Lonchura striata: one gene and its partners. The protein of the gene in region 2 interacts with the protein of the main gene of each other region in a pairwise test. Links are inferred from orthologs where the notes say so. Each region holds a gene or a part of one and is shown on either strand. Other genes may lie near its edges. The genes, in order: CEP63, ARFIP2 and MAL2.

Region 1 (7,034 bases), on a different chromosome or scaffold from region 2:
CCTTGCGAGGCTGTTACAAAATAAATATTTATTCACAACTCTATTTACTACTGCTCCTGATGTTGGACAGTAAGAATAGTTTACAACAACAACTGAGAAAAAGAGGCTGAGGTTTCAGGAAGATGTACAACTAAATTTCTGACAATTAAGACTATAAGCAGGGTTTAGCACAGAGCCAGCTCCCCCAGTGACTTCGCTTCTGCAGCAGCTGAGGGCCACTGCACACTTACACCAGAGGATTTATTCTGAATAAGAGGCAAGGTTAACACTTAAATCATTTGGAATGACTGCTGTGTACAGTTGCATACATACCTCCCCTGCCCATTTCTTTGCATTCCTTCCAGCAAAGCCTCCATCACTGAATCCTGGTGGCTTCAGTACTAGGGAAGTACAGGAAAGCAGTGGTCACCCATGGTAATGCACAAACCAGGCTGCTTCTCCATCCAACTGCAGGAAAAGTGGAAGCCCAAAAAGCACAGAAGTCAAAAAGCATACAAAGAATATGGAATTACAGGTGAGGAAAACAATGGCACCTTCATGAACTTACAAGCCAAACAGAGGAAAACAGATTTTTCTATCAGAAAAATATACCCAATGCTATCATCCAACACTACCAAATTGAAGTGATATAATCATGTGATCTAATAAATTCAGAGAGCAGCAATTAGACTCTGCACTTGTGTGAACTCAACAGAAGGACTGGTAGATCTACTGGGAGCACCAGCATGTGGAGAAACAGGAACATTTGGATTTCAAAGTTTGTCACTTCAGAGAGAAAACACCAGCAAGTAGCAGTAAGAATTCATCCATAAATTACATATTTTCCAGGCCTCTATTATAGACTAGCTTAAAGAGACCATGTAGTTTACCACAGCATTCAGAACACACTGGCTCTTCATACAGTTGTGGGAATTTTAAGAAAACATAAATTCCTTAAAATTTCCTCTTAAATTATGAAAATAAGTTGAACAGCTTTATAGTAGCAGTACATTGCTTCAGTTAAAAATTCACCTTTTAAGTAACAAACACATGCATACCCAAAGAAATTTCATATTGTGGTGAAAGTGAGAAGAGTTTACATTAAAGCCAAAAATGGGGAATAAAAATTTTCCACGCAACCAGAGCCAGGAAGCCAGAATTTATTTCAATATCTCCTTCATGAAACTGCAGCTAACATAAAAATGGTTAACTTGTCCAGAGCTATTAACACAAATTTCTGTTTCCAAAATCTACACATTTTCCAAGTACTGAAGATTAATTCTTCCACCATCTTTCCTCAAAGATTAATATAACATTATTAAGCAATCAGCAAAAGGGGAACAGGTCACAGCAAGGGAGACTTTGACAAATGCAGGCTCAGCTTCATTCTCTTTCCCAAAGAATCTTCTATCGTGCTCCTACAGCACTTAAAAACACAACTCAGAGATTAAAACCTGTCCTTGGGAGCAGTGTTTTAAACCACAGCCATATAAAAAATGCACAGAGAAAAATCCTATTCCTATTCTGACACTGTTTCATCTGTCTTTGGTGCTGTAACAAAACTCAATCAGTATGCAGAACAACTTTGTGGTTCTGCTGAGGGCAGGGTGCTGAGGAGAGCAGATGAGCAGATCCCCTGAGCTGCTGACAGCATTCCAAGAGCTCTCCAGGTGGCCACAGCAGACATTAGACAGTAGCAGCTCTCCTCTTTCATTCTAATCACACCTACACAGAATCAATTTTCAGTGGGCAGAGAGATGAGGAGACAGACAGCATAGAATTCCAGAACAGTTTGGGTTGGAAGGGATCTTAAAGCCATCTCATGCTAAACTGCTGCCATGGGCAGGGGCACCTTTCACTATCCCAGGTTGCTCCAAGCCCTGTCCAACCTGGCCTTGGACGCTCCCATGGGAGGCACAGCCACAGTTGGCATAGCCAGATTTTGGGGAAAAGCCTTAAAATCAGACACCTCTAGCCAGTTCTATGCTACGTACAGTTTGCTGACTTAGTATTACATTTTGGCCTCTCATGCTTGCAAGTTGCAACGTGCAAGTTACAGGAACCTGAGTAAAGACCCAGAAGAGGAAACAATCTCCTTCATTAACTACAGTTGAAGGAAGGAAAGCTGGCTGATCACCTCTGAAAGTGAAGAAATGTGAAGTATTTGAAAAAAAAAAAAAAAAAGTCCAAAACAAGACAACACATTTAAAAATAAAAAAGGTTTAGCATTCCAGCTCAAGGCAGAACTGTAGCAGAGTGAAGTGGAGAGAACTTTACAATACACAGGAGGACTTAAGAATAGTGCCCATGCGACAAGACTGGGATTACTTCGCACTTAGAAACACAGAAAGATGCAATCTTAAAGCGTTGCTGGAAGCATGCTTACAATGAACACAAAAGGAGCTCCCAAAAGCAATACCACGGGCGAGCTCCGCTTGCCAGCGGCAGGAACGGCACCTGCGGCAGGAGCCCGAAGTGAACCAGCCCTCGCCAGGGCGAGAATCTCAGAGTCACTGAGCTCGGAAAAGTCCTCTGAGACCATCAAGTCCAATCTTGTGACCGATCCCCACTCTGTCACCCAGCCCAGAGCACCGAGTGCCGCGTGCAGTCTTTTCCTTAAACACCTCCAGGGATGGGGACGCCGCCGCCGCCGCCCTGGGCAGCCCTTTCCAGTATCTAATCACCCGTTCTGTGAAGGAATTGCTCCTAATGTCCGGCCCTGGTGCCGCTTAGGTCCGTGCAGCGGCCGGGGCCAGCGGGCCCGGCCGGCACTCCCCGCTCCCGCCGCTGCTCCCAGCCGCAGCCGAGCCCTCACAGCGCCTGCCCCGCGCCCGCCGCGGCACAGCTCCGCTGCCCGAGCCCCTCCGGCGCCGCGCCCCGGGGAGCTCCGCTGCGGGCTGCCCGACACCCCGGCGCTGGCTGGCCGAGCCGCCCTCCTCCCTTCCTTCTTCCGTTCCTTCTTCCTCCCTCCCTCCTTCCCGCCTTTCCCACCCTGGCAGCGGGCACGGCCCGGCCCCGCCCCGGCAGCGCTGCGCATGCGCTGGGGCCGCGCCTGCGCAACAGCGGCCGCGGAGATGGGCAGGGTAGGGCGGGCTGGGGAGCGCGGGGACAGGGGGGCACAACCCTGGGATACAGCCCTGGGACACAACCCAACCCTGGGACACAGCCCTGGGACACCGCGGGGACACAACCCAACCCTGGGACACAACCCTGGGACACAGCCCTGGGACACAACCCAACCCTGGGACACAGCCCTGGGACACAACCCAACCCTGGGACACAGCCCTGGGACACCGCGGGGACACAACCCAACCCTGGGACACAACCCTGGGACACAGCCCTGGGACACCGCGGGGACACAACCCAACCCTGGGACACAGCCCTGGGACACAGCCCTGGGACACCGCGGAACACGGAGCCGTGCTGGCCGGGAGAGGCAGGGAGCGCAGCGCGCCGGGGCTGGGGTGCGCTCAGCCCCGTGCCCATCGCCGCCCACATCGCGGCTCCGGCAGCCGGCGAGTGCCAGGCCTGGCTCGGTTTTGAACGAGTGCCCGTTCTCTCACACCCGCCAGGGTCGGGCTGCCTGCTGCTGCCGCCCCGCAGCATCACACCGGGGCGAGGGCCTGAGGTGATCCTTCAAGGAGGGCAGAGTACAGTTAAACAGTCTGGAGTAATTATAGGAGATGCGGGTGAAAGATGGGTCTCGTTTTGCTTCTCTTTCACCGGTTTCCTGCACTTCAGGTTCGGGCAGAATTCTGGGTACCCTGAAGTCCTTTGTTGTGACTCTCCCAGACAGGTGAGGCACGTCACTGCTCAGGAGCTGTAAGCCAGCAGCCAGCAAAGGCTTCTGAGCAGCTCTAGGTGCTCAAACTCACTCAAATTAGACTTCTAAAAGTCAGTCAGTAGATATAAAATACATGTAAATATCAGTAATAACCATCTGGTTTTATATATTAATTTCCAGTGCATATCAGTCTGCAATTCACTTTGATAGAGTTCTTTTCAGATGAAGTTGTTCTATGTGGTTATAACCCTTTTTTGTGTGGATTAGGGAAATCAAGGTATCCTTGTAAGTTTAAATTTCATATGGATTTCATCAAAACTGGAGCAAGCCAATAGTCCAGACTCCAGCTCCTTGGCTGGGGATGTTGCTAAAACAGCATCTGCTTTGTGTCACAGATTTAGCTGCTCTCGCCGCTGTGACGATGGACAGCGAGGTGCAGAGGGATGGCAGGATCCTGGATCTGATCGATGATGCGTGGAGGGAAGATAAATTGCCCTACGAGGATGTGGCCATCCCTCTGGTAGGTGAATTGCTACTTATCAATCTGAGTTAAGGCTGCTGCGTTCATCACAGTCCCTTCCAAGAAAAGGCACAGAATGTTCCTCGTGGTGCGGCTAATTTGTACAAGAGGCTCCTGGATCTCCACGGAAGATCCAGTCTCTCACGGAAGGGACTCCTTCTGTGCCCTATATGCCAGTCATTCCTGAGTGCATGAGGACATGGATGCTTCTGTTGCTTGTCCCCTGACCAGTTGCTGAATCCTCTCAGAACTGGAGTTCCTTTCCCATTGCACTCTCCTAGGTTTGGCATCAGGGAGAAGTAGAATCATCCTTTTTCTCTGCTTCCCTTTCTTGTTCCTGGTGTTTGAGGTACTTTCCTGGTTGTTGGGAGAGCAGAGGATCAGTCTCACATACAGTTCCAGTCTTGGTTACACTTTATATCTGCTTCCTGCAATGCCATTAAAAGAAGCTGAGACATTTTCGTAAGTGTTTCAAAGCAGTCTTTTCCAGATTCAGTGTTGCTGTTGGAAGTTCCGGGACAGCAGTGAAGGACTGGCAGGTGCAGCAGGACTCTTGCCTGTGGTGATGTGTCCAAGGCATGGCACCTCTCTTTTCATCCAGGGTACAGCTGCAAAGTCAGAGAGGGGCAGCAGGGGAAAAGCTACTGCTGATCCCACAGAGCCCAGAGCTAAAGCTTCAGATCTCCCACACTGACACCTTTCCTTGGCTATTTTGAAACTTACAGGGAAGTTAGAGGTAGCTGAGGATTTTCCCTTTTTCTCTCTGGTACACGAGCTTTACCCCAGCTAGCTCACATAAAGCAGCCGTGGGGATTGTGGGGTTTCTTTCAGCAGAGAGACATCTCCAAATTTGTGGCATGGTTCAAGCGTCAGCCCTGCCACCACTGGCTTTTCAGAGAGGGCGAGGAGCAGCTGCACAACTCAAAGTCCATATGTACAGCACACATTTTCCTGCCAAGAGTTGGGCTTGAGGGAAGCATCTTGCAGAAGCGTGATTCTCAGCTAAAAGAGCACAAACCCTCCTTTGCCTTTATTAGGCAAGCCGAGTATCATAAACAGGTTCCTTGTTGACAATTGCCTTTACCCTGAGTCCAAACATTATTGTTTCTTCCCTTAGAGCCATCTCGTGATGGCTTACAGTCACATACAATGACAGCCTCAGAGAAGGAAGCCTCACCAACTACCAATAGAAAGGCCTGGCTGTGGATATAAAGATCCCCAGAGATGGGATTGGCTCTGATCACATAGAGAAAACAGCATGAATTCACAGGGGACTTACTCAGGGACATTGCAAAGGAGCACCAGAATGGCTGTGAAAGTGGTATTTGAGCCTGTCCTGAGAATCTGCTCCAGTGCTTAATCAAGCCATTTCTGGGAACTCAGATGTGTTCAAATCATTCATTGTTTTCAAAGCTGAAACACTTTATCTAGCTCCAGCTGGGATTTCCAGAGGAAATTCTAGAACTCTAAATTCTAGAACTCAGAATTCCTGCCCAAATGGTATCTGGCAGAATAGCACACACTCAGTGTGACTACACCAATACAGCAAGACAGAGAACAAATAATAGAAGGAAGTAAAATGAAATCTGTTAAACTTTCCTTCCCTTTACTGTGCTGTGAGCAGCTCTGGGGCACACCTGGCAGGGGGTTCTGGCTTCTGCTGTTGATCCAGCACAGCTACACCTGACTCCAGCATACAGACAGGAAGGACTTCTAACCTGCCATAAGAAAGTAACATTTTACAGAACCATTTGTCTGCAGTATTTGTATTCTTGGCAACAGCAGAAACAGCACATTGCAAACAAACAGTGGAATAAATGCATTGTACTGTTATTTACTTACTTTGCATTTGCTGTATATTCTCCCTCACTGTGTGTGCAGTCTGAGTGTATAGCAAGGCCCCAGGGTCCTGGAAAACAATTTACCTTTCAGATTAAACACATTCAAATGAATATTCAAATTAAAAGAATAACCATATTCAAATGAAAAGAATACTGTTCATGATGCGGCTCAGCAATATTTTTAAGTGGATCAGTATGTATGATATTTATTGTTCAGATGCACCCTCTGGTCTCGTTTGTGGGTTTTGTATCTATCCATACTAATCATAACAACCTGCTGCTTGCAGAAAGTGTATTACATGTGGAATGCATTCTACCTGTGTTTTGTTCTCAGAATGAGCTCCCTGAACCAGAGCAAGACAACGGTGGCACCACTGAGTCTGTGAAAGAGCAAGAAATGAAGTGGACAGATTTGGCTCTCCAGTATCTCCATGAAAACGTTCCACCCACAGGAAATTAGTGAATCAGTGGGATTTCTAACAGTGGATGCATGAATGCAACATAAAAATATTTTTTTGGCTGACCATTGCTGTCATAAGCTGCCCTAAGGAGGAAACAGCATTCCAGATTTTCAGATTCCAACAGTGGTTCTGCTCACAATGCTTCTTTAAAATGCTTCTTTCTTGAATGTGAAATAGCAGAGGCTCTGACATCTCAGAGCCAAGTGCAAAATGTTTCATGCTTATAAGATTATTTCATGTTTTCTGTTAAATTGTTCTTAAGTTGGTGCCAATTCTGATCTTAAATGTTTTCTACACGATTAAAAAGTTTTTACTGTCTCAAATTGCAATTGATTTCGAAGTTCTCAGTGGGATTATTGTCTAGAGTTCAGTGTACAAAACCCAAATAGCTGTGAGTTGTTGCCATCTTTAACAAATTTGTGGATGTGTGGGGCAGATGTGAAAGGTTG
Region 2 (7,373 bases):
ACGCAGCAGCTCAATCTGGGTCTCCAGCTCCAGGTCCACTGTGCGGGACCCCCGGCCGAAGCGCTCCGAGAGCAGCTGCTTGGTGCACTGCAGCAGGGGGACACAGGGCCCCAAGGCGCCTGTGAGTCCCCCGAGCCACACCGAGAGCAGCTCCTCATGGGAGGGGAGCAGGAAGGCCCACTGGTGTCCCCTCACACTCACCTTGTAGGTGTTGATCCCCCACTTCTTGACAATGTCGAACTTCTCAACGGCAATGCCGCGCACGACCTCTTCTCCACCAGGCGGGGGTCCTGGGGGTGGTGGGTGCAGCCCAGGGCCTGGCACAGGGACAGGAATATGGCACCAGCTGCACGAGGGCGGCAGCCACGGGGAACGGGCAGCCCCAGCCTCCAGAGCCCTTGTCCTGGAGCTGCTATTTCTACAACAGCATGCCCAGCTCCAGGCATATGCCCAGCACTGGCTCACAGGCATTGTGATGAGGACCCTGCTCCTGCCAGCCCCCCTGAGGGTCCCACACAGGGGCACAGATCCCAGCCCAGCCATATCTGCTTGCACCAAGCCCTGCCCCATTCCTGCCGACTGCTGTCACCAGGCTGGACACAGGGGGAACACTGCCCAGTAGTACTGGGAGCCCCTCAGGTGGGCTCCAGGGGCAGGGTGGGCCCCTCTGGCCAGGACCCACCTCTGAAACCCCTGGGCCCACCAGTGCTGTCGTCTGTCCCAGCACAAGGATCAGCCCCAGGACCAGGCTCTGGCCATGACACAGCCGCCATGGGGGTTCTTACCAACGTCCCTAGGGAGGCCCGGGGCCCCCAGACCCAAGGGACGCCCGGGGTGGAGTGGGGGGCGCAGTACCTGCGGGAGCCGCGGCCGGGCGGGCCATCCTACGGGCAGCAGGCGCGCTGGGGGCAACCGACGGTCCTCGGGGGGGGTGAGGGTGGACAAGAGAGCCTGGAAATGGGGGGGCTGCGGGGGCTGAGCAGTGTGGGGCAGGACAGGATGGGGGCACAGGGCATGGCACAGTGGGGTAGCCAGGGCAGAGGGACGGGGGGGCAAGGGACAGGGGCGAGTGCGCGGGCGGGCGGCAGCGGGAGAGCGACGGCAGCAGGTGAGCGTTGGAACCCAGAGACACTGCCACAGCCTCACAGACGGATGCCCCAGCCCAGGAAACCCCCACCTCTGGCCCCTGTGCAGGAACCCCTGCACTCCAAGGGCTGGGTAGGCCTGGCATCACGAGCACGCTGGGACACAGAGACACAGGGACACCGGGCCAGCAGTGGCGGTGCTCCGGGGAAGTGCACACCCGTGCAGTCTCCCTCTCTGCCCATATGGACCTTCCTCAGGCCCTGGGGAAGATCTCTCAGGGAGAGATCTGCATGGAACAAGGACAGTGCTGCCAGGTCTCCCAGGGTGCAGAGCCCAGCTGGCCCCGCTGTGGCCCGGTCTGACTGGGACAGCAAGAAGGGGTCAGCAGAGTGTGGGCTTGTGCCCCTGCCTGCCCCCTCATCCCCAGCACACTCCAGAGCTCCCGCTGCACATGGACCAGGACACAGCAGGGATCCTCCACCAAGCAGGGATTCAGAATCTCACGGGGATGTCCTGACCAAGGGGATGGAAATTCCCAGCAGAGCCCACCCTGTGACAGGGGAGCAGCCCAGGGAGAGCGGAGCTGGGGCAGCAGCCCCTCCTCTGCCATCAGTGCACACTGCCACATGCTGCCCCTACACAGAACCCAAGCCCACCCAGGAGCCACCTCGGCCAGGCTGTGGCACAGCCTCGTGTCATGAGTCAGGGGCACTGAGAAGAGATGAGCCCCTTGGTCCCACGATGGCCCCATTCCCTCCCAGCCCAACTCCACTACCTTTGATGGTGCCGGTGGGGATGATGCCCTCAGCCGTGCCCCCGTAGCCACCTGACACAATGCTGGTCTCATTCAGGTTGGGTCCTGACACCATCACCTGCTGCAGGTCCTGGGGGGCAGAATAGCACAGGGGCTGAGAGGCAGAGATGGCACAGCCCTGGTACAACCCAAACACCCCCTAGGGTTCCCGAGCTCCAGACCTGCTCCAGGCCATCGTCCTCGGGCAGGCTGCTGGTGTCCCCGTTGCTGCTGATGGGGATCTCCATGGTGGCTGCCTTGCTCAGGATCCCGTCCGACATCCTCAGGGCCTGCAGGGACACGGCCGTGGTGCTGGGGCCAGGACCACCGCCCGGCCGGGGGCAGCAGCCACAGCCGGTACTGCGGGGCCGTGTTGGGACAGCAGGAGGCTTCGGCGCAGAGAGAAGGGCCCACATCGGCAGCCGCTGGCACCGAGCAGAGGCTGCCCGCTGCCTCCTGCAGCCACTCCCAGCCCGGCCCCACCGTCTCTCGGGACACCCCCGGCCCCCAGAACCGACCCGTGGGGTGGCACATCCCAGAGACCGCTGCGGCTCCCACACCATCACGCCAGGGCTCCAGGGCTCCCCCGCCCCTCGGGCCGCACTCCGTGCCCCCTCTCACGAACCCTGCCGGGATCCCCGCAGTCCGTGCCCCGGGACAGCGGCGCTGGCAGCGCGCAGCGCGGCGCCGGGAGCCACGTCCGCAGGAGAGCGGGAGGGGGCCCGCTGCGCTCGGACCGGTCCGGGCACATTCGACAGCAGGCGGGGCCCGGGGCGGGCTCCCGAGAACCCGTTACCTGCGACCTGTGCCCTCCCCGGCGGGGACAGGGCCCGGCCCAGCGCGGGGGGCGAGCCCTGCGGGCAGAGGCTGTCACCGCCCGGGGCCATCCCGGCCGCGGAACGGCCCCGCAGCCCCACAGCCCCCGCGGCGGGCGGGGGCAGCGCCCGCACGGAGCCCTCCGCAGCCACGCACGGCAAGGCCCCGGGACGGGACCGACCTCCGAGGGAACCCCCGGTGGCCGCTCCCGGCGGAGCCGGCCCGAGCGGGCGGCGGCGGCCGCAGCCCGGCTCCCGGGGCTCTCTCGGCCAGGCCCCGCTGGCCGTGCGCGGCCCCCCGGTGCCCCCCAGCCCCACCTGCGCCCCGGCCCCGCCGGGCCCCCCGCGCCGCTCCCGCTCCGCTCGGCCCGGGCGCGCCGCAAGTGCCGTCAGGGCCCGGAGGTGGCGTCATGGCTGAGCCGGGCGGATGTGACGGCGCGGGGAGTGCGGCGGGAGCGGCCCGGGCCGGGCCCGGCATGGACCCGGCGGCCGAGCACCGGCAGCAGCTCCGCAGCGTGAGCCGGGGGCGGCGTGTCCCGCCAGGCCTTCGGGGGGGTCCCGGGGCTCCAGCTGGGGGGTCGCGAGGTGCCGGGGTCGCAGGAGAGCCGGCGGGGCCCTGGAAGGGACTCGGGCTGGCCGGGGGGCGCGCCGGGACTCGCGGTGGGTTTCGGGGGTACCGGAGCGGCTCCGCCCGGTGTGATCCGCGCCTGCTCCCCAGCTGCGGGATTTCCTGCTGGTCTACAACCGCATGACCGAGCTCTGCTTCCGCCACTGCGTCTGCAACCTCAACTACCGGCTGCTCACGGGCCGCGAGGTGAGCGGGGCCCGGGGGCCGCGGGCCGGCTGCCCCCGCGCCCCCTGACCCCCGCCGTGCCCCGCAGGAGTCGTGCCTGGACAGCTGCGCCGCGAGGCTGGTCCGCGCCAACCACCGCCTGATGGGCGCCTACGTGGGACTGGTGCCGGCGCTGCTGCAGCGCCGCGCAGCCGAGCACGGCGCTGCGGCGGGGCCGCCCGCACTGCCGGCCTCCCCTGGACCGGCCCCGGGCCCCGCGGAAGACGCTCCCGCTGCCGGCACGTAGAAGCCCCTGGCCGCAGCTCCCCGCGGCCGTCGGACGCAGCAGCAGCCCTGCTGCGCTGGAGCTCCAGGCTGGAGCAGCATCCGCGCTGGGCCCCCGGAGCCCCGAGCAGCGGCTGGGCTATGCAGGGCACCGAGGATGGGGGGCACAGGAACAGGGGAAGGCCCCCCCTAGCCCTCCTGGCTGTGGATTTCTGGGAAGTGGAGTGTGAATACCAATAAAACATCTTCACAGTAATGGCTTAGTGTGACACGTGGGGAGGGCACCAGAGCCCTGGCCCCTGTTCGCTGCTGTGTGAACCCATGGCACAACAGGGAATCCAGGGAATTGCACCTCACTGGGAGACAAATGTCTCCCTACAGGACGCCCGTGATCACCGGGACATTGCAGGGCCCTGAACATTCTCACTGCAACTGTCAGGTGCAGAGCAGGCACTCAGGGCAGGGGGAGGGGGCAAGGTGGGGGTAGATGTCAGGTGCTGCCAGGCCAGTGCCCACCAGCTAAGGGCGTGTGTATGCGTGGTCCCTAGGAGATCCTGGCCTCTTCTCTCCCTGCTGCAGCCCCTGGGCAGAGGGCGTGAGCTGCGGGTCCGGGACAGGCCTTAAGGCAGGTAAGCACAAGCCCCAGTACAGAAATAAATTGATATATTCCGTGTACAAAACATGCTCCTGCAGGCCCGGCCGGGCACTCCCGCGCATATAAATAAGGCCCGGCCCGACCTCCCCTCTGTCCTGCCCACGGGGGCCAGCGCCTGCGCCGGGGCCACCCCTCCCGCGGGACCCCCGGGCTGGCCGGGGTCACTTAAGGTCCACATCGAAGTCCAGCACCAGCAGCTTGGTCTCCTCGGTGCCATTGCGGCTGCCCACAGCACACACCAGCTTTGTGTTGGAGGCGCGGATGCGCCACACCACCCCACCCGAGCCCCCGCTCTCCAGGGCCACCAGGTTTCGCACAAACTCCCCTGTCTTCAGGTCCCACAGCTTCACTGTCCCGTCATCCGAGCTGGTCACCACGAACTTGGAGCTGAACTGCAGGCAGGTGACGGCACTCTGGTGCTTGCTGGGACCTATGGGGAGGCACCCATGAGCCCCATGCATACCTGGGCCACCCACTGCTGTTGACATGGATCCTGCCACAGCTGGCAGCTTACAGCCAGCCCAGTCTCAAGGGCAAGGAGCTCCCTCCCAGCCCTGCCCCTTCCCAGCCCCCTGATGGAGAGAACATCCCACTGCCCCCCAGGGGTAAGGTATCCCCTCTCACCCTGCAGCGTCTGCAGGCACTGCCCTGTCTTGATGTCCCAGATCTTGACGGTGGAGTCGGCGTTGCCGGACACCAGGATGTTGTCACGCAGCTCCATCCCGCTGGTGAGTGACTGGTGCCCCATGAGCGTGTGCAGGCAGTTCCCGCTCTCCACATCCCACACGCGGATTGATGTGTCCAGGGACCCACTCACGATGTGTGTCCCATCAAACTGCCAGAGAGAAGGGGTCCAGCTCAGGATCGAGGACAGGAGTGTCCCTGGTTTGGGGCACAGCCCACAGCTCCGGCACTCCCTAGTCTGGGATACAGCACGCCCAGTTCCAGCACCAGCGACCCCAGTTCAGCAGCTGAGACACAGGCTCATGTGCCTCTTGGCTTTTTGAGCTGTAATGCTCCAGGGAAGGGGCATGGACGAGTGTTTGTGTCCACAGCATATGTGTGTGGGAAGTGGGATCAGGGGGGCAGAGACTGTCCCCAAAGGACACAAACAGGGTCCATGTGTCCTTGCAGGGCAGATACAGCCCCTTCAGGGCACACATGTCCCTGCAAAGCTCACAGGGCCTTGCACGACACACGCACAGCCTATTTGTCCCTACAGCACATGTGGGACCTTTGGCACAGCTTGTACCCATGACTGGAAGGCAGGGGAGAGATAGCAAGCCAGCAGGAAGGCAGGTTGTACCTGCAGGGAGCAGGGAGGGCAGGGGAGCAGCAGGAGGGAATGTGTGCAGGGCCGTACCTGCAGTGAGTAGACACGGTTGGTGTGCCCCTGCAGCGTGTGGGTGCAGCTCTCGCTCTCGGGGTCCCACACCTTGACTGTGTAGTCGTAGGCACCACTGACCACCTTGTTGCCATCATACTGGACGCAGCGCACGGCTGCCACATGGCCCATCAGCACATGCAGGCACTGCCCCGTCTCGATGTCCCAGAGCCGTAGCGTGGCATCCCGCGAGCCGCTCACCACCCTGCGGGTGAGGGGACACCTGGGGCCCAGCTGCCAGGGCAGCCTGGGGCTAACAGCCTCCCCGTGGATATTGTCCTCCCTCACACAGCACCCACAGCCCGTACCTGTTGCCGTGCAGGTGCATGCAGCGCACGGTGGAGGTGTGTCCGTACAGCGTGTGCACGCACTCGCCGCTGTCAGCGTTCCACACCTTGAGTGTGCGGTCAGTGGAGCCGCTGATGACAATGCTGTCCCTCATCTGGGAGGACCAAACCCCCCCAGTGTGGCCCACCAGCGTCTGCACACACTGTGGGGAACAGGACGGGAGAGGCAGGTGAGCCTCTCGCACTCCCCCACCCCAAAACAGCACAGAGGAGCAGCACAACTCTGTGTCCTTGTCATAACGGGCCCAAACCGACCCCAGCAGTCAGGGTGTAGCCCCAGCTGTGCCCAGCACAGGGAGATGGTCCCTGCCCCAAGCCCCTGTGGCGCCAGTGACAATGCCACACTCACTTGCCTGGTGACAGTGACACTCACCTCCCCTGTGACAGCTGACCACACTTTGAGTGTGTTGTCATCAGAGCCGCTTACTATGCGATTCCCACAGAACTGCAGGCAGGTGATCACATGGTCGTCGTGGCCCTTCAGTACCTGTGGGAGCACAGGAGGGTGTGGGGGGCAGTGTGGCCCCACCCAGCCTGCAGGATCCCCCAGCATAATGAGCAGTGGGAAGGTAGCAGGAGCTGTGGGGAGGAAAGGCAGACGGGTCTCCAAACCACCTGCACCCCCTGGTGCTTCTGCAGGGCAGGGGAGCTGGGGTGTGTGGTGTGTCTGCTGCAGGGCCGGGGGTTACAGCAGAACAGGGAGTAGGAGGCTCAGGAACCCAGCAGCAAGAGAAGGGGTGGTGAGGACTCTGTCCAGGGGCAGGAGGGACCCCCACGGAGAGATGACCAGGGTTCTGGGACCCTGCACAGAACACAGTTGAGCCCTGTGACACTGCACTTTCCTTGGGTGCTGAGGCTGGCTGCAGCCCTGGATGGGGCCTTGGAAAGGGGCAAATGAAAGGACCCCCTTCTCCAGGCCCAGGAGATCTCATTTCTGCTGTCCCACTGCTCTGAACAAGCCGGATCTGCTCCCCATGGCAGATCCTGCGCCAGCTTCCCCACACCAGGGGCCTGAGGTCTGTCCCCAGAGGGACCCCCACCAGCCCCTCAGCCCACCAGGGTCCACCCCTGGCAGGAGCACTCCCAGGCTCACCCTGGGGACCACAGCTCCCTGGAGTCAGCACTGGGACACCCAGACCTACTTTGGGGGGCCGCAGCTCCCCACTGCGCCAGTTCATGTCAATGCGGTGCTGACGCAGGAAGGCGAATTTCCAGGGGCTGTACATGAATCCGGGA
Region 3 (7,252 bases), on a different chromosome or scaffold from region 2:
AGGTCTAACAGCCACTCACCATTGCTGCCCTAGCTTTGAGCAATTGACCCAAAGTCACCAGTAGACTTTCTTAGGAACTGGAGGGGATATTCTGGGTGCTGAAGTCCAGTCTGTGCTACCTCAGACAACCATATCACACAGCATGTTCACAAATTCATCCTTTCCTTTATAATATTTGATATATCTTTCTACATCTCATTATTCATGAGGTGTTACTACCACTTCTCTAATAGTCAGAAAGTATTTTCTGATTCCCAGTGCACAATAATTCCTGGCCATTTAAACCAATTTCTTTCCACACCTTTTAAGTTAGTGCTCTTCCTGCTGCTCATACATTTTATGTGTTCAGAGAGGACAAGTGTACTCCATTAAACAGCTTCAAAAGCTCCTTCAGCCTCCATCATAAAACAGTTTCCTCTGCCACCTCTGTAATCTTGTTCTTTCTTTTTCTGGTTTTGAATTCCTGTTTGAAAAAACTTTGTGCTAAAGCAGAAAGCCAGGTGCCAAGACTTAGGATCGACACGTCTCATTAAATAATTTTCAGTTTATAAAACAAAGGGAATCCTTAAACAAATGAAAAATCTTACCGCCTGGTTCCAGTTGACAGCAATTCTATTTGCATAACCAAAGAGGAACACAGAGAGGAAGACAATGGAGAGGAACCACGCCGTCACTGCCACAAACATTACCCATCCCTGCAGCAGTGCCAGTGGAATTTGGGTAGAGGCGACCAAAATCCAGACTATTGTTCCAAACAGCTGCAAGGAAAGGAATACAGAGAATAAACTGGACAGCTTTTACTCAGTACTTTCTGCCTAAGAACTGATATCACACATTACATATCATCAGATGACTCTTAGAAACCAAGAAGAAACACTTCAAAAGTACTCGGAGAGCCCAAGTCCTCCTCTCAGAAATGATAGGCACTAAGTGGTGAAAATACAAAGCCACTCTGAAATTCCTAAAGGTTCTTAAAATAGGCTTGAAAATGGGATTTACAAACCCAGGTGACTTGTGTCCTGCTGAAAATTTTATCCTTACTGCAATTTTGAATAAAATATAAGAAATGTGAAAACACAGTACACACACACACAAATCTCTCTCTAAATACGCAAATTAGCACAAAAAGGATGTACTTCTACTACTTTGGATTCAATTTCATAATGTTTCGCTTTGAAGTCCTAATCAGATGAGATACAGAAAGGAGATAAAAAGACACCCATTTTTTCAATATATTTGTAATACCAAGCTGAAGGAGGACAGAAAGCATAAAACAAAAGAAAAAAACCTAGAATACAGAATAAGGTGAGTTGTAAACTATGCTGTAAAGACTAGAAAAATATAGAAGTTTCCAGAATCATCATAACTTGGAGAAGAATTCAGCAGTGCCAATTTCATTTCAGCAGACTCCTCACGGCAAATGAGTGGTAGGGACACTGTGCTAGGGATGGTGATGGAGAATTTACACACTCTAAGGCTTCCCTGGCTTAATCAACTTTTGGCCTAAGGAACACAACTATTTCTTCCTGCAAATCCTGCCTCTTAATAAAAAAACATAAATAGATGACAATTATGATTCACTCCAAGTATGTTTGTTTATGACAGAAAGATTTAAATTCATAATCCAAACTGCTGAATAGTGTCAACTAAAATATATTTCCAAGCGCAAGTAACTTCTTTCCTGTTTGAATTCCACAGATTTACAAACCAGGAAGTCAGAGGTTACATTTTCAGATTCAGATAGCTTTCTTTTGTATCACAGTTGGATAAGAGATACCTTTCAAAAGATGCCTGCTACAAAATAAGTTGGTTCCTCTCTGGTGCAGCAGCACATGTGTAAAGATGCATTGCTAGTCTCAGTTCAAAGCTCCCATGGGTTTATGTATTACTGTTCAAGTTGTTCTCTAGGGTTCCTTTTTTATCTGTGAAGAACCAAACTTTCTCTAGTTTCATAAGACTGCAGGTGCAAGTCTGTTACTTGGTGACCAGAGAGTGATGGGCAGTGAGGAAACAAAAGGGATAGCAGAAAGTGTCTGTTAAACAAAAAACAGAGACACATTAAATGCTTTCAGTATTTTCAATGTGCAGACTTGCAGGGTTCCTTAAAAATAAATTTAGAACTGTACTGTAGAGACTGCTAATCTCAGCACCCACTGTTGTGCTACTTCCCTCACGCTACACCTGTCCACAACAGCTTGCCTGTCAGAGTACAATTGGTTGGCCAGCTGAACTAACCTTTTGTCCCTACTGCCTCTGGGCCTGATTTAGTGCCCGGACTTGTGTTTCGAGTTTCAGCTTGCTCCTTACTCAGGTACAATTTTAAAGCTTGTGAGGTGGGACCCAGCTCACAGTCTGGGACCCAAGTAGTATTCTGCTCTGACCGTACGGGAAAGAGTAAATTAATAAAGTCAGAGGGGTTCTACCAAGCTTTTTTGTTTTTCATCACCCATTAATCAGTGGCACCACAGAGCGCCATATCCAAGCTCAGCTCAAAGGTCCTCAGCCCTGCGTACTCCTGCGGGGTCTAACACACACGTGCCATTGAGCACGCTCGTAGGAGTTTGCAGAGGACGCGCAACAGGCGCGCAGACAGAACCTGGTGTAACTCTCCGTGGTGCCTTTTCGGGTCGGGAGCAGAGCGTGGCTCAAAGCCCCGGACAGCTGAGGGAGCCCCGCGAAGCCCATCTGCGTGCGGGCCGCGGCCGAGGGCAGCGAGCCGGGCGGGCGGAGCCCCGGCCCCGCACCTGCCCCTGCCCCGCTCACAAGATGGCAGGCGAGCGGCGCGGCAGGCCCTGGCGCTCCCCACCGCGGCCCTGCACTCACGATCTCCAGGAAGATGACGGCTCCCGAGAAGGTGCGCAGGATCTCCAGGCCGGAGGGCAGCGTGACCCGCGGAGGCGGGAAGTAGGGAGCGGGGTTGGGAGGCGGCGGCATGGACGAGGCTCCCCTGGGCAACATGCTGCTGCGGCGGCGGCGGCCGTGCCGAGCGCGGCCAGGTGGGCGAGGAGGCGGCGGTGAGGGCGGCGCAGGTGCGGGCGGGCCGGCCGCGCCTCCCCCGGCCCGGCCCGGCCCGGCCCGGCCCCGCCCCGCAGCCGCCGCGCCTCGCCCGGAGCGGGGCCGGGCCCGGGGCCGGAGCCGGGCTCGGGCCGTGTCCGGCCACTGCCTCCCGGCTTCACGGCAGCGCGGCGCTCCGCATTCACGAGTCCTGAATCAGGCCAGCCGGACTCGGGCGTGATTTCCCAATGCCGGCTTGCAAAAGGTTTTTATTTACCTTCTGGTTACGGATGTTCGGGCTTCGAAATTGAGTCGTTGCACTGTTTTATTTAAAGGCGCCTACTAGGTTATCCATTCAAAATATTGAAAACATTTCATTTGTATCTTCTTATTGCTCGGTCTGGCTCAACTGTGTACCACTGATTAAAAGTAGTAGAAAATGTTTGTAAAACTTTGGGGTAGAGAAAGGTATACATTCATGAGACTACTTATAATCCATTTATTTTCTTATGCTTCTTTATACAAGCATCTTCTCCAGATGGAGATGCCATCCAGCAGCACTTCACTTATTTCTCCCGTTGTGCCTTAGGCTGAGATGTGCTACCTCTGGAATGACCAAGACTGTTTCACCCAATGTTATCCCATTCAGTGTTCATACTCCACACATACGGCTGCGATTTTAGAGATAACATTTTAAGAAGGTTTCATGCAAGTGTATGTAGCTGCTCTGGAGATTGAACTGACTTGGGTATAAAGACCTTATTCCTTTCTTTTCGATGCATGATGTTTCTCGGGTATGCTTTTGTGATGACAAGAAATGCCACATCCTGAGATGCCTGTCTTCCCCACCCCAATCCAAGCCCTAGGTGGAGAGCAGTTGGCACCATAAAACAGGACTCATCTGTGTTTCTGCCATACCATTCCGTACACAAATAGATTTGTGATGCTTTTAAAATGCATTAATGATTGCTTGGCTTTGAAATCTTGGCATCTAAAGGAGGAAGAAGCAAAAGTTCACATTCTTTCTTGTGCTCTGTCTTCATCTCTATGCCTCTTGTAGCTGGATGCCTCTTGAACTCTTAAGTAGGAGATGCTGGATTGAATCCCCATTAGGCTGAAGAAGGCACAGCCTCCCCTCTTTTCTGAGTGCTTTACCCCATTGCCTATCCAATGATATATTATTTTTTTCCTCTAGACCTATTTGAAAAGTGAACCTTGTGTTCCATCCTTTTATCTTCAGGAAAAGACTTAAGGCTCTGGAAGTGCATGCCTACAGGACCTGTTTTGGCTGTTTTGGAAAGGAATGGGATTGATACTTGTGCATAAGTGATTAGGTGTAGGAGGTTTGTTCTTGGGATTGTTATCTGGAGACCATATGTCAAATAAAAGTCACAGTCTGGCCCTAAATCTGTTAAGACTGCCCTGCAGAGGGAGAAGTCTGAGACAGTGGAAAACAGGGCTGGTTTATGATTCAGAACAAGAAATGTGATTGTCCTTATCTTACACAAAGGAAGTACAAATAATACTTGGTCATAAACATTTCCAGTGTTATTATTTAGCTGCATAGTTAATCTGTGTGAACTCCTAGCAGTACTAGATTTTACTAATGATTACATACCATGTGCTTGTAAATCCTATTTCTTTTTACTTGCACGTTCCTTATAACACTTATTTTATTGAAATTTAGTTGGTTCTAACAAAAAAGTCCAAATTTCACTTTCACAATTAGGTATAGATCTACTGAGTAGATTTTTGGCTGTGCTTTTTCCTGAAGCCTAATTCTCTGCTTTTTCCTAAAGCTTAAATTAAGTGTCTCTTTAAATTATTTTTGCTGTGTTCAGGCAAGATGTGCTGCATGCCCTGTGGGATTGCTTTTATACTGATTCATGTACTGTTTGAATCTTTAAAGAACTGGATTTTTTAAAGAGATTAAGTTTCCATGCAAAAGCACATGTTTGTGTTTAACTGCTTTTTAATAGCATTTTTGTATAACTAATTGCATCTTGGCATGTTAGAAGGTAAAGTAATGATGCAGCTTCCAGTCCACCAAAGTGAATAGGTAGGCAGAAGTATATTGATTCATTGTGAGTAGGAAAGTCTGTCTATACAACCACAAGGAGTAAAAATTGCTCTTAAGCAGCTGTAAAAAGCTCTATTCCCTTCATGTTCTAATGCTATGGCAGTCTAATGTAAAGGAAGCATTGTCACAGAACTACTAAACCAGTTGCTGGTTTAGCAGTGTACATGTGTACATCATACTGGATATGAAAATTACACAGCAGTCACATGCAGCAAGATTCAGACTACCTTTTGTGAGGTATGGCATTGATACTTCTGGAAGAGCTGAATATTAGTAAGGATACTAGATAACAGGTGAAAGTAATGCCAATTTCAGAACTCATGGTCCTTAATGCCTTATCTATGTTATCAGAAGCATTTCAGGAAGAGATGTTATCTCATGTCCTATGTTATGGAGTGCACCAGGGTGGTCTGCCAAAATGGTCAAAGAGATGGAAAATACAAACCAAATAATTGACAGTAACCCTGTTTTCCTGTGGCTCTGTTTATGCACAAACAGATTCCCCAAGCCAGAGTGGAACTAGGCAAGGTTTTCTAGACAGGATCCGCTTCTTTCTTGTTCTGGAGGAAGTTGCCCCTAATAGTTGTCTGTGTTTCTTTTAGATTTGCAAAGCTGCTATTTCTTAATGTGGAATACAAACTCTCCTAAGTTAGTTACATATCAAAAATAGAAAGCCTGGAGTTGATCATGCAACACAGGCTTTTTGTTTATGGATGAAATAATTTAGCATGCTCCTGGAAATTTCATACAGGATTCTGATCTCACACTGGTACAAACTCTGGGGTCATTACCCCTTAGCCAGTGAAATTAAATTGGCATAAAACTGGCTTGCATAAGATGAATGATAAGGAATGCCTTTAGCATCATTTGTTGTAGTGTATTTAGTAAGTGGTAACAGAACTTCAGGATCATGGTTGGATCTATGCATATTATGAATTAGTGTGCAAATACCACCACATTGTTGAGGTTTCTTGTGAGGCAGTGCAACAGTTTTAATTTTTTTAACAAGCAGGGCCAAGTTTGTGAATGCATGTTGCCCCTTCTTGCACCAAGAGGAAAACAACTGTTGAAATTTCTCACTTAATCCAGTTAAACTGAGCTTGGGATGTGTGCTGAGGAGATGAAGATAAATGTGCCACCTGTTTGGTCCACCAGTGCCAGGGATGGCTGGTTACCAAACCAGTCCCTGGAGCAGCTTCAAGCAGTCTCAGAGCTGCTCTCAGCAGCATTTTCTGGCTGGCTCATAATGCTATGGTGGTACTTTGGACATGGCCTCTTCCTGCAGAAGTGTCTTCCGTGCCCAGAGCCATGGGATGAAAGGCATTTTCCTGTCTGCTTTGGCTCTCAGGGTGCCCTTTGAAGCAGGGAATCCTTTGCTGGCTGGTTAGGGGTGTTTGAGGATCCCTTCACACAGGCACCACACAGCTGGAGGCTGGCACAGAGCCAGGGACCCTGCTGGAGTCAGCTGGTGTTAGGGAGGTCAGGCTGAGGTTCCTCACCTGTTCTCATAACATTGTTTCCATGTTCCTAAGCTTACCAGCGGTTCATTTTTGACTTGGTGGCACTGCTGGTCTCTAGCAATACAGTATAGCATGCCAAGGGCCAATTTTCCTTTTATTTACTTTAAGAAATTCCTTTTAGCTGTGTAAGGGTGCAGCAAAAGTAAAAATGCAGAATCTCTTAATAGCAAAGAGGAAGATCCTGACCTGAGATGGTACAGGAGGCAAGGTGGGTAGAGAGGGACATGGCAGAGCAAAGCCAAGTTACCTAATGGGAAAATGTCTCAAGAAGTCAAGTGTTCTGTTCTTGGCATAGGTGAGCCAGGAAAAATGGTTTGCATGGATTGTCCTCAGAAGAGAGTGTTAAAGTCTCAGAAGTACAAACTGGGAGCATGATATTGTTGGAGATGAGGGATGAGTAAATAGCACTGATTGTTTAGGACAGAATTGCCCAGGGAAAACAGTGCACAGACTGCACAGCAGCAATACATTTTTTTATCCTGTCCCCTTCCAGCTTCATGGTATAAAAGAGGACCAGTTGAGCTGGTTGCAGGGGGGCTGAAGGAGGCTGTGCCAAGTGCTGCCTTTGCAGATGCAGCACAGACCCGTGCCTTTGGTACTGCTGGTAGCACAGGCCTCTGCTCACTCTGTCGGCACTCAAGACTTGGATGTAAGAACC

The links.
Region 1: the proteins of ARFIP2 (region 2) and CEP63 interact in binary tests that used the Homo sapiens proteins (3 or more experiments, as listed by UniProt). The link is inferred for Lonchura striata from reciprocal best matches to the Homo sapiens genes ARFIP2 and CEP63.
Region 3: the proteins of ARFIP2 (region 2) and MAL2 interact in binary tests that used the Homo sapiens proteins (3 or more experiments, as listed by UniProt). The two-hybrid records come from large-scale screens. The link is inferred for Lonchura striata from reciprocal best matches to the Homo sapiens genes ARFIP2 and MAL2.

What each region holds. Positions count from the first base shown.
Region 1 is NC_134612.1:6,433,725-6,440,758, forward strand, and holds the start of CEP63 (centrosomal protein of 63 kDa), read right to left. Parts: upstream 3,003-7,034; 5' UTR 2,971-3,002; intron 2,733-2,970; exon of another isoform or gene 2,366-2,732; intron 448-2,365; 5' UTR 357-447; coding exon 313-356; intron 1-312. Other genes in the region: ANAPC13 (anaphase-promoting complex subunit 13), read left to right, coding at 4,185-4,283, 6,459-6,584. UniProt on the Homo sapiens protein: Required for normal spindle assembly.
Region 2 is NC_134604.1:116,966,882-116,974,254, forward strand, and holds the start of ARFIP2 (arfaptin-2), read right to left. Parts: upstream 3,097-7,373; 5' UTR 3,013-3,096; intron 2,170-3,012; 5' UTR 2,161-2,169; coding exon 2,062-2,160; intron 1,971-2,061; coding exon 1,862-1,970; intron 967-1,861; coding exon 856-966; intron 318-855; coding exon 202-317; intron 88-201; coding exon 1-87. Other genes in the region: TIMM10B (mitochondrial import inner membrane translocase subunit Tim10 B), read left to right, coding at 3,171-3,209, 3,413-3,508, 3,576-3,773; RRP8 (ribosomal RNA-processing protein 8), read right to left, coding at 4,568-4,836, 5,031-5,241, 5,770-5,995, 6,099-6,280, 6,511-6,624, 7,280-7,373. UniProt on the Homo sapiens protein: Plays a role in constitutive metalloproteinase (MMP) secretion from the trans Golgi network. May have important functions during vesicle biogenesis at certain cargo subdomains, which could be predominantly utilized by secreted MMPs, such as MMP7 and MMP2.
Region 3 is NC_134603.1:14,192,705-14,199,956, forward strand, and holds the start of MAL2 (protein MAL2), read right to left. Parts: upstream 3,019-7,252; 5' UTR 2,959-3,018; coding exon 2,824-2,958; intron 759-2,823; coding exon 588-758; intron 1-587. UniProt on the Homo sapiens protein: Member of the machinery of polarized transport. Required for the indirect transcytotic route at the step of the egress of the transcytosing cargo from perinuclear endosomes in order for it to travel to the apical surface via a raft-dependent pathway.